Sus scrofa: one gene and its partners. The protein of the gene in region 2 interacts with the protein of the main gene of each other region in a biochemical or structural test. Links are inferred from orthologs where the notes say so. Each region holds a gene or a part of one and is shown on either strand. Other genes may lie near its edges.

Region 1 (3,974 bases), on a different chromosome or scaffold from region 2:
GACATTGGACCCCGGAAGGGCCACTTGGTGTCTTTCCACTAAGAATTTGTAATTAGGATTGTGAGAAATACTTCTAATTCCTTAGAGTAATCAACTCCTCTCTTTCTCTCTTTCTCTCTTTCTTTCTTTCTTGTCTTTTTGCCTTTTCTAGGGCTGCTCCCACAGCATATGGAGGTTCCCAGGCTAGGGGTCTAATCGGAGCTGTAGCAACAGCCTACACCAGGGCCACAGCAATGGCAATGCTGCGACTTACATCACAGCTCACGGCAATGCCAGATCCTTAACCCACTGAGCAAGGCCAGGGATGGAACCCGCAACCTCATGGTTCCTCCACCAGACCAGAGCAGACTTTACTGGTGCTGTGCCCTTTTCCTGGAGTCTGGCTTAGCAGACTTGATTCCTGAGGGTCAGTGGGTAGTCCTGGCTTCCCCTCTATGCATGGCTAACCTCAAGCCCAGGGTGGAAATCATGGCACAATCACAGATTCACGGGGAAGCATTCGGCATGTGGGGGGGTCTCCACTCATGCCCACGTCTACCAGCGTAAGACGTGGAGCCACGGAGCCACGACGAGAACTCCCAGTGTTCTGTCAATTTTCTACTGTATAGCAAGGGGACCCAGTCACATATCATGTATACATTCTTCCTCTTTTATACTTAATTTGAGTGGGTTTTGTTACCTGCAACCAAAGAGCCTGGAGGATACAGTTTCCTCAGTAAGATGTGCCAAACTCCCACCCACTTCCTCTTACAAACAGTGTGCTTTCTGGCCCTTGGAGCTCACACTACGTTTCACCATTGAGACCGAGACTCACCTCTGACTGCCAGTATATTGCTTTGGAGGAAGTTTTTGGAAGGGGTGGCTCTGTTGGAGGCCAGGCAATAATACTGTCCCTCCTGATCCTTGCTAGCCTTTGGCTTGTGCCAAATGGCCTGGGTGTCATTCAAGGTGACTTGGTGGAAGGGCTTGTTCTCCTTTTCTTTGTAAAACTTGTACGTGATGGGGCCAGATCCTTCTTTCACGGAGCATTGAAGCACAATGGCCTGCCCAGACTCCACCTCCTCGCTCAGGAGAATAGAGAGCTTGACTTCCTCCACTGGGGCTGAAAAGCAGGAAAGGGATTAGCTCTGAGAAAAGAGGTGGGGAAGAGAAGGACCATGACACAGCCACTGGTCAAGGCCAGCCTTCTGTGACTGATCCAGAACTGGACCGTGCCCCTTTTCAAATCACTCCTGGCATCTCACATTCTTTCCAGTTCTTCTCCCGATTAGCCCAGAAGGGCAGCAATGGACACCTCCTGTCCTCACATGTTGATAAGACACGAGATGCTAGGGACGCCTCCCTTCACCTACCACCTCAAGTATTACTGGCCACCTGACTATATGATTAACTTATGTTCTCTTGGGGTCTGTTCTGGGTGAGTTTGGATATGTGAGTGTGTGGGGGTGTGTAAGGGGGAGGGAGGGAGAGAGAGAGAGAGTGTGTGTGATTTCTTTCCCTCTGCTTACAAAGATACATGGCATGTCCAGATCTTACGAGCAAGTAACCTTGATGCCCTGCCTTCTCTCGCTATTGTCCTGTTTTTCTCTTTCTTGTTAGCCTTGAAATCTGACTTCTATCCTTCTGCTTCTGAAGCTGCACTATATCTCTGGTTTTGAAGAAACTCAAAGGTCATCGGACTCCCCAGCTAACTCATCCCTGCAGATAAATCCATGGTGGATGTTCTTCCAGCTTTCGCAGCCTTGGCCTCCCTATCATAATCATTCTCACCTATTACTCAGTCTTTCCCTTTTTTTGGCCATGTCCCTGGCATGTGGAAGTTCCTGGGCCAGGGATCGAACCTCTGCCATAGCAGAGACCTGAGCTGCTGCAGTGACAACGCTGGATCCTTAACCTGCTGAGCCACTAGGGAACTCCACCAGCCTTTTCTTTTGAACTCAGCTTTCTCTGGGCTTCTGTGAAGTCTTACAACTCTGATTCTCTTACCTCCTCACCTGCCACTCCCTCTTTATTCACCAATTTTTCTTCCTTTTGCCCTTTACCTGGGGACTTTCCACAAAATTCGTCCTCAGTTCTCCGTCTCCGCTCTCCCCTTTGGTGATCTCCCCTACATTGGTTAAACAGCTCTAGTCCAGATTACTCCCCTGAATTCCGAGTCTTGAATTTCATTTGGGCATTTCCAGCAAGAAGCCCTGCCAGCCTCTCATTCCCAGCAGAGCCAAGCCGAACTCATCTTCCTCCTATAGCCCCTTTCGCTCCACGTCCAACCACCAAAATTCTGCTTGTAGACTGTCTTCCCAAGGATGTTCCTACTAGTATGAGAGTGAACTGATCAGCAGACTGGCATCTGACTTGTGAGTCACCCTCATGAGTGTAGAGGGGGCCAGACCATGGACTTGCTGACCCAGCGAAAGGGAGCACGGAGCCTGGGATGGGATGATGGGGGTCAACCCCAAGGGCAGCCTCCTGGAGGTGCAGCTGGACCTGACGGCCCCTCTTCTTGTGAAGCACAAGGGGGTGGTGGCAAGCCAGGCTCAGGAGCCAGACTGCCTGGCCTCAATTCCCAGCCCAAATGCCCACCAGCTCTTTATCTTAAGCCCTAGTTGCCTCATCATAAAATAAGGATGATATTAATATGGATCTGATGTGGCTACTGTAAGTATGAATGGGAGTAATTTACTAAAATACTTCACATGGGGGTGGATGGACAGAGCTCAGTAAATATTAGCCATTAATGTTGACCCAGTATAAAACAACAGTTTCACGTGGGCTCCTACACTAGCTTCTTAAGGTCTTGTAAGGCTTGGAGTCTCCACTCCATTTTTTTTTTCTTTTTCACCTTTTTTTAAAAAAATTTTTTTAAGTGAGAATTGCAACTATTTATTTATTATTTATTTGCACTTGTTTGTTTGTTTTGCTTTTTAGGGCCACACCCACAGCATATGGAGGTTCCCAGCATAGGTGTCTAATCGAAGCTACAGCTGCTGGCCTATGCCACAGCCACAGCAACGCCAGATCGAGCTGCATCTGCAACCTACACCACTGCTCATAGCACGCCAGATCCTTAACCCACTGAGCAAGGCCAGGGATGGAACCCGCAACCTCATGGTTCCAGTCGGATTCGCTCCGGCTGTGCCACGACGGGAACTCCCCCCACTCCTTCTAACTGACAGGACTCCCAGGTTAATCTTGCCAAGACCGCATTCTCGGCATATCCTCTTTCCCACTTCTGGCTCTTCACTGCACACAGGACAAAGCCCCGACTCCTGACGGGCAATTGAAGCCCTTCACAGTTAGGCTCAGCCACTCTTCCTGTTTATGGCCGCTGACTCTTCATCCCCAGCCTTTGTGTCCAGCCATTTGATGTAGCCACAGCCTTTTGAACTGCTCCATGGAGCCTTTTGCTCATATATTTGACTAGGCTGGGGACCATCTCTAGCCCTCTCTGCCCAGCCATTGTCGAGCCTTGGCTTTTAGCCAGCTCCTCCCACTCAGCCTAGATGTGGCATCATTCATGCCCTAAATTCCTGTCACCATCACCGTACGGAGGGTTCAGGCGACAATCATGTGTTGCCTAGTAACACTTTTCCTATGTTTCTTTGCACTGTTATTCAAATATATCAAAACGTTCCTTCACTATTTAATCAGGAGATCCTGTGTTTCTCATTATATCATTGAAAACAAAGAATATGTCTTCTTTTTTGGAACGCCCTATAGCATGAGCTGCTTAATATATATTGGTGTTAATTTGAAAAATATTGTTCCTCTTAGACTGTACATTAATAGTAGGAGGAATTGTTATCCACCTCAAGATATCCACATGGGGGAGTTCCCATTGTGGCGCAGCAGAAATGAATCCGACTAGGAACCATGAGGTTGCAGGTTCGATCCCTGGCCTTGCTCAGTGGGTTAAGGATCCGGTGCTGCCATGAGCTGTGGTGTAGGTCGCAGCTGCGGCTTGGATCTGGTGTTGC
Region 2 (4,413 bases):
CACAGCATATGGAGGTTTCCAGGCTAGGGGTCTCATCAGAGCTGTAGCTACCAGCCTACGCCAAAGCCACAGCAACACAGGATGCAAGCCGCACCTGGGACCTATACCACAGCTCACGGTAACGCCAGATCCTTAACCCACTGATCAAGGTCAGGGATCGAACCTGAAACCTCATGGTTCCTACTCAGATTCATTAACCACTGAGCCACAACAGGAACGCCCCTAAAAAAGTTAAATATATATCTACTATGTGAACCAGCCATACCATTGATGGGTATTTTCCAAAGAGGAATGAGGTACACAGCTATACACACAGTTGTACACCAACATTCAGAGCAGCTTTATTTGTGATGGCCAAACTCTGAAACAACCCAAATGTCCAGCAACAGGTAGGTGGATAAATAGATGGCAGTACATCCATACGATGGAATATTACTAATCAATAAAAAGTAATGAACTATTTGACACACACACTATAATATGGTTGAATCTCAACATAATTATGCTGAGCATAAGAAACCATACATCAAAGCCCATTTATACAAAATTCTAGGAAATGCAAACTAATACACAGGGACAGAAAACAGAAGAGTGTTTGTCTGAGAAGGAAGGGATTAGAAAGGGCTTGAGGAGCCATGGCAAGGCGTGATGGATATGTCCATTATCTCAATTATGGTGATGGTTTTACAAGTGTATCTATGTGTCAAAACTTCTCAAACTGTATGCTTAAATATATGCAGTTGGGAGTTCCTGCTATGGCACATCGGTACTGGCAGCGTCTTGGGAGCACTGGGACACAGGTTCCATCCCCAGCCTGACACTGTGGGTTAAGAATCCTGTGTTGCCGCAGCTGCAGCTTAGGTCACAACTTCGACTTGGATGTAATCCCTGGCCCAGGGAACTTCTATATGCCGCAGGGCAGCCAAAAAAGACAAAAAAAAAAAAAAAAAAAAAAAGAAAGAAAGAAAGAAAAACAAATATATGCAATCTATCCTATGTCGTTTATACCTCAATAAAGCTGGTTAAAAATAAAACATCTATCTGAAAAATAAAAATAAATAGTTTCCAATTATGTGTGTTATATTCATAATATGACTTTTAGGTGGCACACATTTCTTTTCCATAACAGGTAAGAGAGGGCTGGAGGAGAGAAGGAATTACTCCATTTCAAGCTGTCATCTTTACCACTTGCTGCTTTGGCTATACCACACTTCCTGGCTTCTAAACTAACAAGCTAGACAATGTAGAGTCTATTACTACCCAGCCCCTATCCCAGCCCCAGCCCCCAATCTTTTTGTCTCCTAAAAGAAGCAGATCCTTACTTGTCTGGAAGAGCAGACACAAGGAACAAAAGGCTCAATGACTATTTGACAGATTAAAGAATAGACAACTGTTTTATTTAAAAGCTCCCTAAAGAATAAGCACATTTGAGGCTATACACTGTTCTGCTGAAATGCAATTATGTATTACCCAGATCTGTAAGCACTTGCCAACAGACCTGTCCAAAGCACTCACTTTCTAAGTTTTCAGTTTTCTTCTTTCTCTTTTCATTCCATGAATGGAAAATATGCAGGTGTTTTTGAGAAAGCATTCCTAATATTTTGAAATCTCTCATTCAAATAACTCTAACAGCTTGAAACAGTTTTTCAAATGTCTGAGACAGTGACCATAACAGGACAATGAAGGAAAGTCTAAACAATGGATCTTATGTTTGAATCGTATATAAAAAGTAGCAATACATAGCAGGATCGTTATCTGAAAACAACAGATCATACTACTGTTTAACAACAAAATTAAGGCTTACAAATGATTGGCAATAGTTATGAAACAATAATAGCAACCTAGTAATTAACAGTGGGGATTCTGGTTCCACTACTTATTGATAGACTGACCTTAGGCAAGTTGCCTAACTTCTGAAACTCAGTTTACTCATCTTTAGAACGGTGATAACACTACCTATCTCATAGGTTGAGAGTAAGGATTAAACGTATCTGGCATACAGTAAGAGCTAAATAAATGTTAGCTATTAATGGTATAACTACACTGAACTTTCAAAGAATCTCAATTCACTACTCTGAGGACTCTTCGGTTCAAATCCTATTACTATCATGTTTCCTCTGAGCCTCAGTTTACACATCCGTAAAACGGGGGTGATTAATGTTACCAGACATTTACGGTTGTGGTGAAGGATTAAATAACTAGAGACAGAGCTCCCTGCCCTCCAATCTCCCAAAGAGAAGATCGCAGAGGAAGGAAATACTTCTAATAGCTGTAGATACAGTCAGTTTTTCCATTTCTGGCACGTGAGTAGTCGGGGGGACGGGATGCAAAAAGGCATGTAAAGGGGTCAGGGATCCTGAGTAAAGCCCCCGAATGCGCGCAAAAAGTAGTGACCCAGAGCCGCTCGATCAACTGGGGCCCGGCCCCGCGCAACTCCCTCCTCTCCCCTCCCGCGTCCCGGACCGAGGAGCCTCCCCAAGTGAGCGGGGTTATTTCGGAATCACCATGAGGCAATTCTCATGAGGCAATGGGTCAGGAATGCGGCGCCGAGCCGGGCCGCTGGCGTCCGCGGTTCCTGGGGCGGCTCTACCTGCCCCTGTCCAGACGGGCATCCCCAGGGCTGCAGGAGCCGGAACTCGGGGAGGCAGGAAATGAATGAGGACGCGAGGGGTGGGGGCGCGGTGGGGCCGGGCCCTGGGGCCCAGGAGGGACAGGGAGTTGGGACAGATCCTGCCCCCGCGACCCCGGGCCGGAGTCCGAAGCCTGGCCCGGCCGCCCCTTCCCAGGCCGGGCAGACCAAACGCGGCGCGGGGGGGGTGCGGGGCTGAGGCCCAGGCTGGGCCCTCGGGGCTCCTCACCTCCGCGATGTCATGTTCCTCCCGCTCTCCGGCTCCGCGACGGACCGGTTCCTTGCTCAGGCTCCACTGAGCCTGGTCACATCGGGCTGGCCCGAGGGAGGCCCGCTCGGGACCGGACGGGGGGCAGTGCCAGCCGGCCGCGCGCAGACCCCCCTCCAGGCCTGGGGATCCCGGGGACTGTGCAGCCGCCCCCCAACCTCGGTTCGCTCCTCCTTCTCCCCCGCCCCTCGGCGCCGGCGCCACCATGACGTCACCCCGCGCGACGCCGGCCGCTACTTCCTGCTTCCAGTCAGCCGGGGCTGATCTGCAACTGGTTATGGCAATTTAGTGGTTCGGCGAAGCAGCTGCCGTGCAGTTCCCAAAGTACCCTCACCTCCTCCTTTAGGCCTTCACAGCGGGGCCTGTGCTGTGCGCTCAAAGTCTCACGCGCTCACAGGAATTGATCGCATCCACTCCCACCGCGTGGATTTCCATTCCTGCGCCGTCAAGTCGAATTTCATTCATTTCATTCTACAAACAGCCGCTTCGCTCCAGATATGTAACCTTGGGAAAACTGCTTGATTTCTCTGAGGCTGTTTCCTCCATTCCTTCATTTCTGTACAACGAGAATTGTATTTTCTTCTTAGGTTTATGGGGAGAATTAAAAATGTAAAATGTTTAGAACGAGGCCTGGCCTATTAAGTGCTTTATTGGAAGTAAACATGCAAGTGTTTTCTATCTGCTAGGCTCTATTTTTGACTATGGGGATGAAAAGACAAAAATCCCGGTGTTCTTGTGATAGGAGCCATAGTAATCAAGAGAAATACTCCCATCCTCATTTCCCTTCTTTTCTCCATAGCCGTTTATGTTATTTTAAAGGATAACGTTATCACTAAGGATAACGTTTGAGTAAAGATCTGATGTAGAAATAGACAGAATAATTTAGGGGAAGAGCATTTCAAGCACAGGGAGAGGCCATTGCAAAGGGCCTGAGGCAGGAGGCAGGAGGGAAAATGAAGAAATCTCTGCCTGGAGCACAGTAGGAGGTGGGAAGGGTATAGGAAATATAAGGAGAGTAGTAGGAAATGATAACACTCCCTATAAATGAAAGTCCAGGACCAGATGGATTCACAGGTGAATTCTACCAAACATACAAAGAGGAACTTATACCCATCCTTAAACTTTTCCAAAAGTTTGAAGAAGGAACACTCCCAAAGACATTCTATGATGCCACCATCATCCTAATACCAAAACCAGACAAAGATGTTAACAAAAAAGAAAACTATAGGCCAATATCTTTGATGAATACAGACCCCAAAATTTTCAACAAAATTTTAGCCAACTGCATCCAAAAACATAAAAAAGATTATACACCATGACCAAGTGGGATTCATCCCAGGATCACAAGGATGGTTCAACATATGCAAATCAATCAATGTCGTACACCACATCAACAAAAGAAAAGTCAAAAACCACACGATCGAACTATGTATAGATACTCATATTGCAACAGAACAAAGGGTGGGGGAAAAAATGTATACATGTAAGGATAACTTGATCCCCTTGCTGTATGGTG
Region 3 (3,974 bases), on a different chromosome or scaffold from region 2:
TCTTATCTCCTCAGAGGGAATGTGAGTTTTGTGGATATGAACCGGTTTACACCGCCACACAGTCCATGCCCTGTACACATGGTAGTTGATGATTTAACTAATAGAGGAGCAAATAACTGAACCAATCAGCCACAGTACATTTTCCTGGCCAATTAGTGAAATATTTATAGGACTGTCAAGTGGGAGCATATAGGTTAGCACTAATTAAACCTTCTTTTTTAGGTCATTAATGTGGATGATGATGGAAATGAGTTAGGTTCTGGCATAATGGAACTTACAGACACAGAACTGATTTTATACACACGCAAGCGTGACTCGGTAAAATGGCACTACCTCTGCCTCCGACGCTATGGCTATGATTCAAATCTCTTTTCTTTTGAAAGTGGTCGAAGGTGTCAAACTGGACAAGGTAGGTAGAGCCTTTATTTTTTTTTTTTCTCCAAACATTATCGCATTTGAAATATTATTCTTTCAGTTATTCTGTATATAATGTTTAAATAATATTTTATTTTTATCCTCATAGGAAAAAATTCTCAAATAAGTGGGTTTTTAAAAAAGATAACAGTACACTGTATATTCATTTATCAAACATTTATTAAGCGTGTTTTCTATGTTTAGAATTTTGACGCATATTAACTTTAAAATTTGCCGTAAGTAAATGATTAGTCCCAGTAAATTGCCTGTGTGTCTTTACTGTTAGAACTTGGGGGAAAGAACTTATTAAACTTTGGAGTCAAACAGAACATGGTTTGATTTTTTGATGTTGTTGTTACCTACCACTTGAAAGTCTTTCGGCAAGTTTCATGACCTCTGTGGCATCAAATGTCTTCTCTATCAGAGGGAAATGGTAATCTGTACCTTATAGAATTATTGTAATAATTAAACAAGATAATCATTGTAAACCACAGAGCAAGGGCTTGTCAAACGGTAAAGGATCCCCTGGTATTAGTGAGTTGGGCTCCCCCTGCTGTTAAAAACCAGAGTAGAGTCAATGTGCAGATCTTGTTTTTGTCTTCCTTATTTTGAGCTGTCACCCACAGACAAAGGAAAATTATTCTGTGAACTTTCTTTTGAGTTTATGTTTTGAAACAGGGAATGTCATTAATTTATCAGACATTTCTTTTTAAGGCCTTTTTTGCTATTGGTGCACAGAATGCTTAACTGTACAATTTTGCTCTTTGGTGCTCCTGTATCTTTTTTAAAGATGTGGTGACTAGTTTTTTTCATCTGGTTTATTTATATTTGTAGGAATCTTTGCCTTTAAGTGTGCTCGTGCAGAAGAATTATTTAATATGTTGCAAGAGATTATGCAGAATAATAGTATAAATGTGGTGGAAGAGCCAGTTGTTGAAAGGAATAACCATCAGACAGAATTGGAAGTCCCCAGAACACCTCGAACACCTACAAGTAAGTGCCCATTTTCCCTCTTCTGTTATAAACTGTGGATTATGGGTATTTATTCTGTAATGTATTAGAAATTACCATTGACTAACATAAGTATAATGGTTATGAGTTTTCAAAAACTGTTAGCTGTAGTTATAAACATTTTTAATATCTTAAATATGAAAACATTACATGTTTCATATTATTTAAAGTGTGAGTGAAAAGTTGGAGCGGAGACGGGCGCTGTTTGTGCTCTGGTTTCTGCCTGAAACACCTTCCTTAATCCTCTGAGTACTGATTGTATTCTCTTTCATTTTATTTTCTCTGCCCTACCCCATCTCCTGCTTTTCTTCTCAAACCACTAAACAAACAAAAACTCAGCTCCAGGGTTTGCTGCTCAGAACTTACCCAATGGATATCCTCGATATCCGTCATTTGGAGATGCTTCATCCCATCCCTCAAGCAGACATCCTTCTGTGGGAAGTGCACGCCTGCCTTCAGTAGGTGAAGAATCTACACATCCTTTGCTTGTGGCTGAGGAACAAGTATGTGCTCCTGTCGAAAAATATTGTGTGGGGTCCTAGTGTTATTATGCTAATAATACTTAAAGTTTTTAGTTTAAATTTTAGTCATTTACTGTTTGTATATGACTTTTGCAGTGAAGACTCAGAGGAAATAGCATATATGGGCTGACATATGCGCAAACGTGTATATGTGTTGAGGGAAACTTATTAGCATTATAGTAAGTTTTAGGGAGTTCGCACCAGAGGTGGGTTAACAGGACATAACTAACATGCTACAATAACCTCCAATGAATGCTTTTTATATTATGGTTTTTGTAATTAGTGGACTTCTAGCATTAAGGCATATTTTGTTGTTGTCAGTGTTTGAACAGAGCAAGTTAATATTCCTGACTTTTCTGTTTTCCTTTTAGGAATGAAATATCTGGTTGAACACTGTCTGTGTATTACTTATCTTTTGTTAACAATGTGATTATTTATCATTAAGAAGTTTTTTCTGTTTTTTTTTTTTTTTTTTTTGTCTGTTTTGGCTTTTTGGGCCACCATGTACCACGGTGGTAAAAGTGCTGCATCCCACCTACTAGACCACCAGGGAACTCCTGAAATTTTTACTGTTTTAAAATCCATTTCTTTATGTTCTTTACTTGGTAAATGAGTTCTTATATGCTATGATTATATCCATCAGTTTTAAATTGTATTTTCGAGATTTTCCAAATTTTATTATTTACATATATCCCCCTAAAATACCATGAGCTTTTCTAAGTAGTGATAATTTCCTGGTATGTGGTATTTATTTTATATCTGTATATTTACAGAACTCTTATTAAATTTAGTAGGGGAGGAATTCCCATTGTGGCTCAGCGGAAACAAACCTGCCTAGTATCCATAAGGATGCAGGTTTGATCCATGGCCTTACTCAGTGGGTTAAGGATCTGGCGTTGCTATGAGCTGTGGTGTAGGTCACCAGTGCCACTCAGGTCCCCTGTGACTGTGGCTGTGGCTTATGTCAGCACCTGTAGGTCCAATTTGACCCCTAGCCTGGGAATCTCTGTGTGCTGTAGGTGCAGCCCTTAAAAGAAAAAAAAAATTAGTAGGGGAGTTCCCACTATGGCACAGTGGGTTAAGGACCCAGCATTGCTGCAGCTGTGTTATAGGTCACAGCTGCAGCTCAGATTGATCCCTGGCCTTGAAACTTCTGTTTTGGCAGGTTTGGCCAAAAAAAGAGTCTAGTAGGGTTTATCCCTTTGTACAGTCAGATCATCTATAAATATTGATAAATTTATCTCTTTTTAATACCTATTATTTCCTGTTTCTAAATCATGTTTTAATGCATTGTTGAGAATTTCTAGAACATTAAAGTGATAATCTCTATTTATTCCTGATTTTTTTTACAGAATGCTTATTATGTTTCACCATCAAGTATATTTTATTTTTATTTATTTATATATTTACTTATTACAGTGTAGTTAATTTACAATGTTGTGCCAATTTCTGCTGTACAGAAGAGTGACTCAGTATGTGTGTGTGTGTGTATACATTCTTTCATTTGTGTGTGTGTGTGTGTGTATGCGTGTGTGTCTTTTTTTAGGGCCTCACCCACAGCACATGGAATTTCCCAGGCTAGGAGTCAAATCAGAGCTACAGCTGCCAGCTTACGCCACAGCCACAGCAGCTCAGGATCCAAGCCGTGTCTACAACCTACACCACAGGTCACAGCAATGCTGGATCCTTAACCCACTGAGCGAGGCCAGAGATCCAACCCACATACTCATGGATACTAGTTGGGTTCTTAACCTGCTGAGCCATGACGGGAACTCCTATGTATTATTTTCCATCATGATCTCTGGAGATTGGATATAGTTCCCTATGTTATACAGTAAGACCTTATTGTTTATCCATTCTAAATGTAATAGTTTGCATATCTTAACCCCAAACTCCCAGTCCATCTCACTCACTCCCCCCTCCCCTCTGGCAACCATCAAATAAATTTCAAAGTAGTTATTCTTTCATCAAGCTAGGAAGACATTTCTACATCCCCCCCCACCCGCAACACACACTAGTCTATTATTA

Evidence for each region. The genes of interacting proteins can lie anywhere in the genome.
Region 1: the proteins of PTPN11 (region 2) and PECAM1 form a complex in vitro, tested with the Homo sapiens proteins (4 studies listed by BioGRID, with this or other methods). The link is inferred for Sus scrofa from reciprocal best matches to the Homo sapiens genes PTPN11 and PECAM1.
Region 3: the proteins of PTPN11 (region 2) and FRS2 interact in a test that uses a peptide from one of them, tested with the Homo sapiens proteins (2 studies listed by BioGRID, with this or other methods). The link is inferred for Sus scrofa from reciprocal best matches to the Homo sapiens genes PTPN11 and FRS2.

What each region holds. Positions count from the first base shown.
Region 1 is NC_010454.4:14,691,298-14,695,271, reverse strand, and holds part of PECAM1 (platelet endothelial cell adhesion molecule), read right to left. Parts: intron 1,103-3,974; coding exon 815-1,102; intron 1-814. UniProt on the Homo sapiens protein: Cell adhesion molecule which is required for leukocyte transendothelial migration (TEM) under most inflammatory conditions.
Region 2 is NC_010456.5:39,288,946-39,293,358, forward strand, and holds the start of PTPN11 (tyrosine-protein phosphatase non-receptor type 11), read right to left. Parts: upstream 3,095-4,413; 5' UTR 2,873-3,094; coding exon 2,859-2,872; intron 1-2,858. UniProt on the Homo sapiens protein: Acts downstream of various receptor and cytoplasmic protein tyrosine kinases to participate in the signal transduction from the cell surface to the nucleus. Positively regulates MAPK signal transduction pathway. Dephosphorylates GAB1, ARHGAP35 and EGFR.
Region 3 is NC_010447.5:33,843,589-33,847,562, forward strand, and holds part of FRS2 (fibroblast growth factor receptor substrate 2), read left to right. Parts: intron 1-222; coding exon 223-409; intron 410-1,248; coding exon 1,249-1,407; intron 1,408-1,764; coding exon 1,765-1,928; intron 1,929-3,974. UniProt on the Homo sapiens protein: Adapter protein that links activated FGR and NGF receptors to downstream signaling pathways.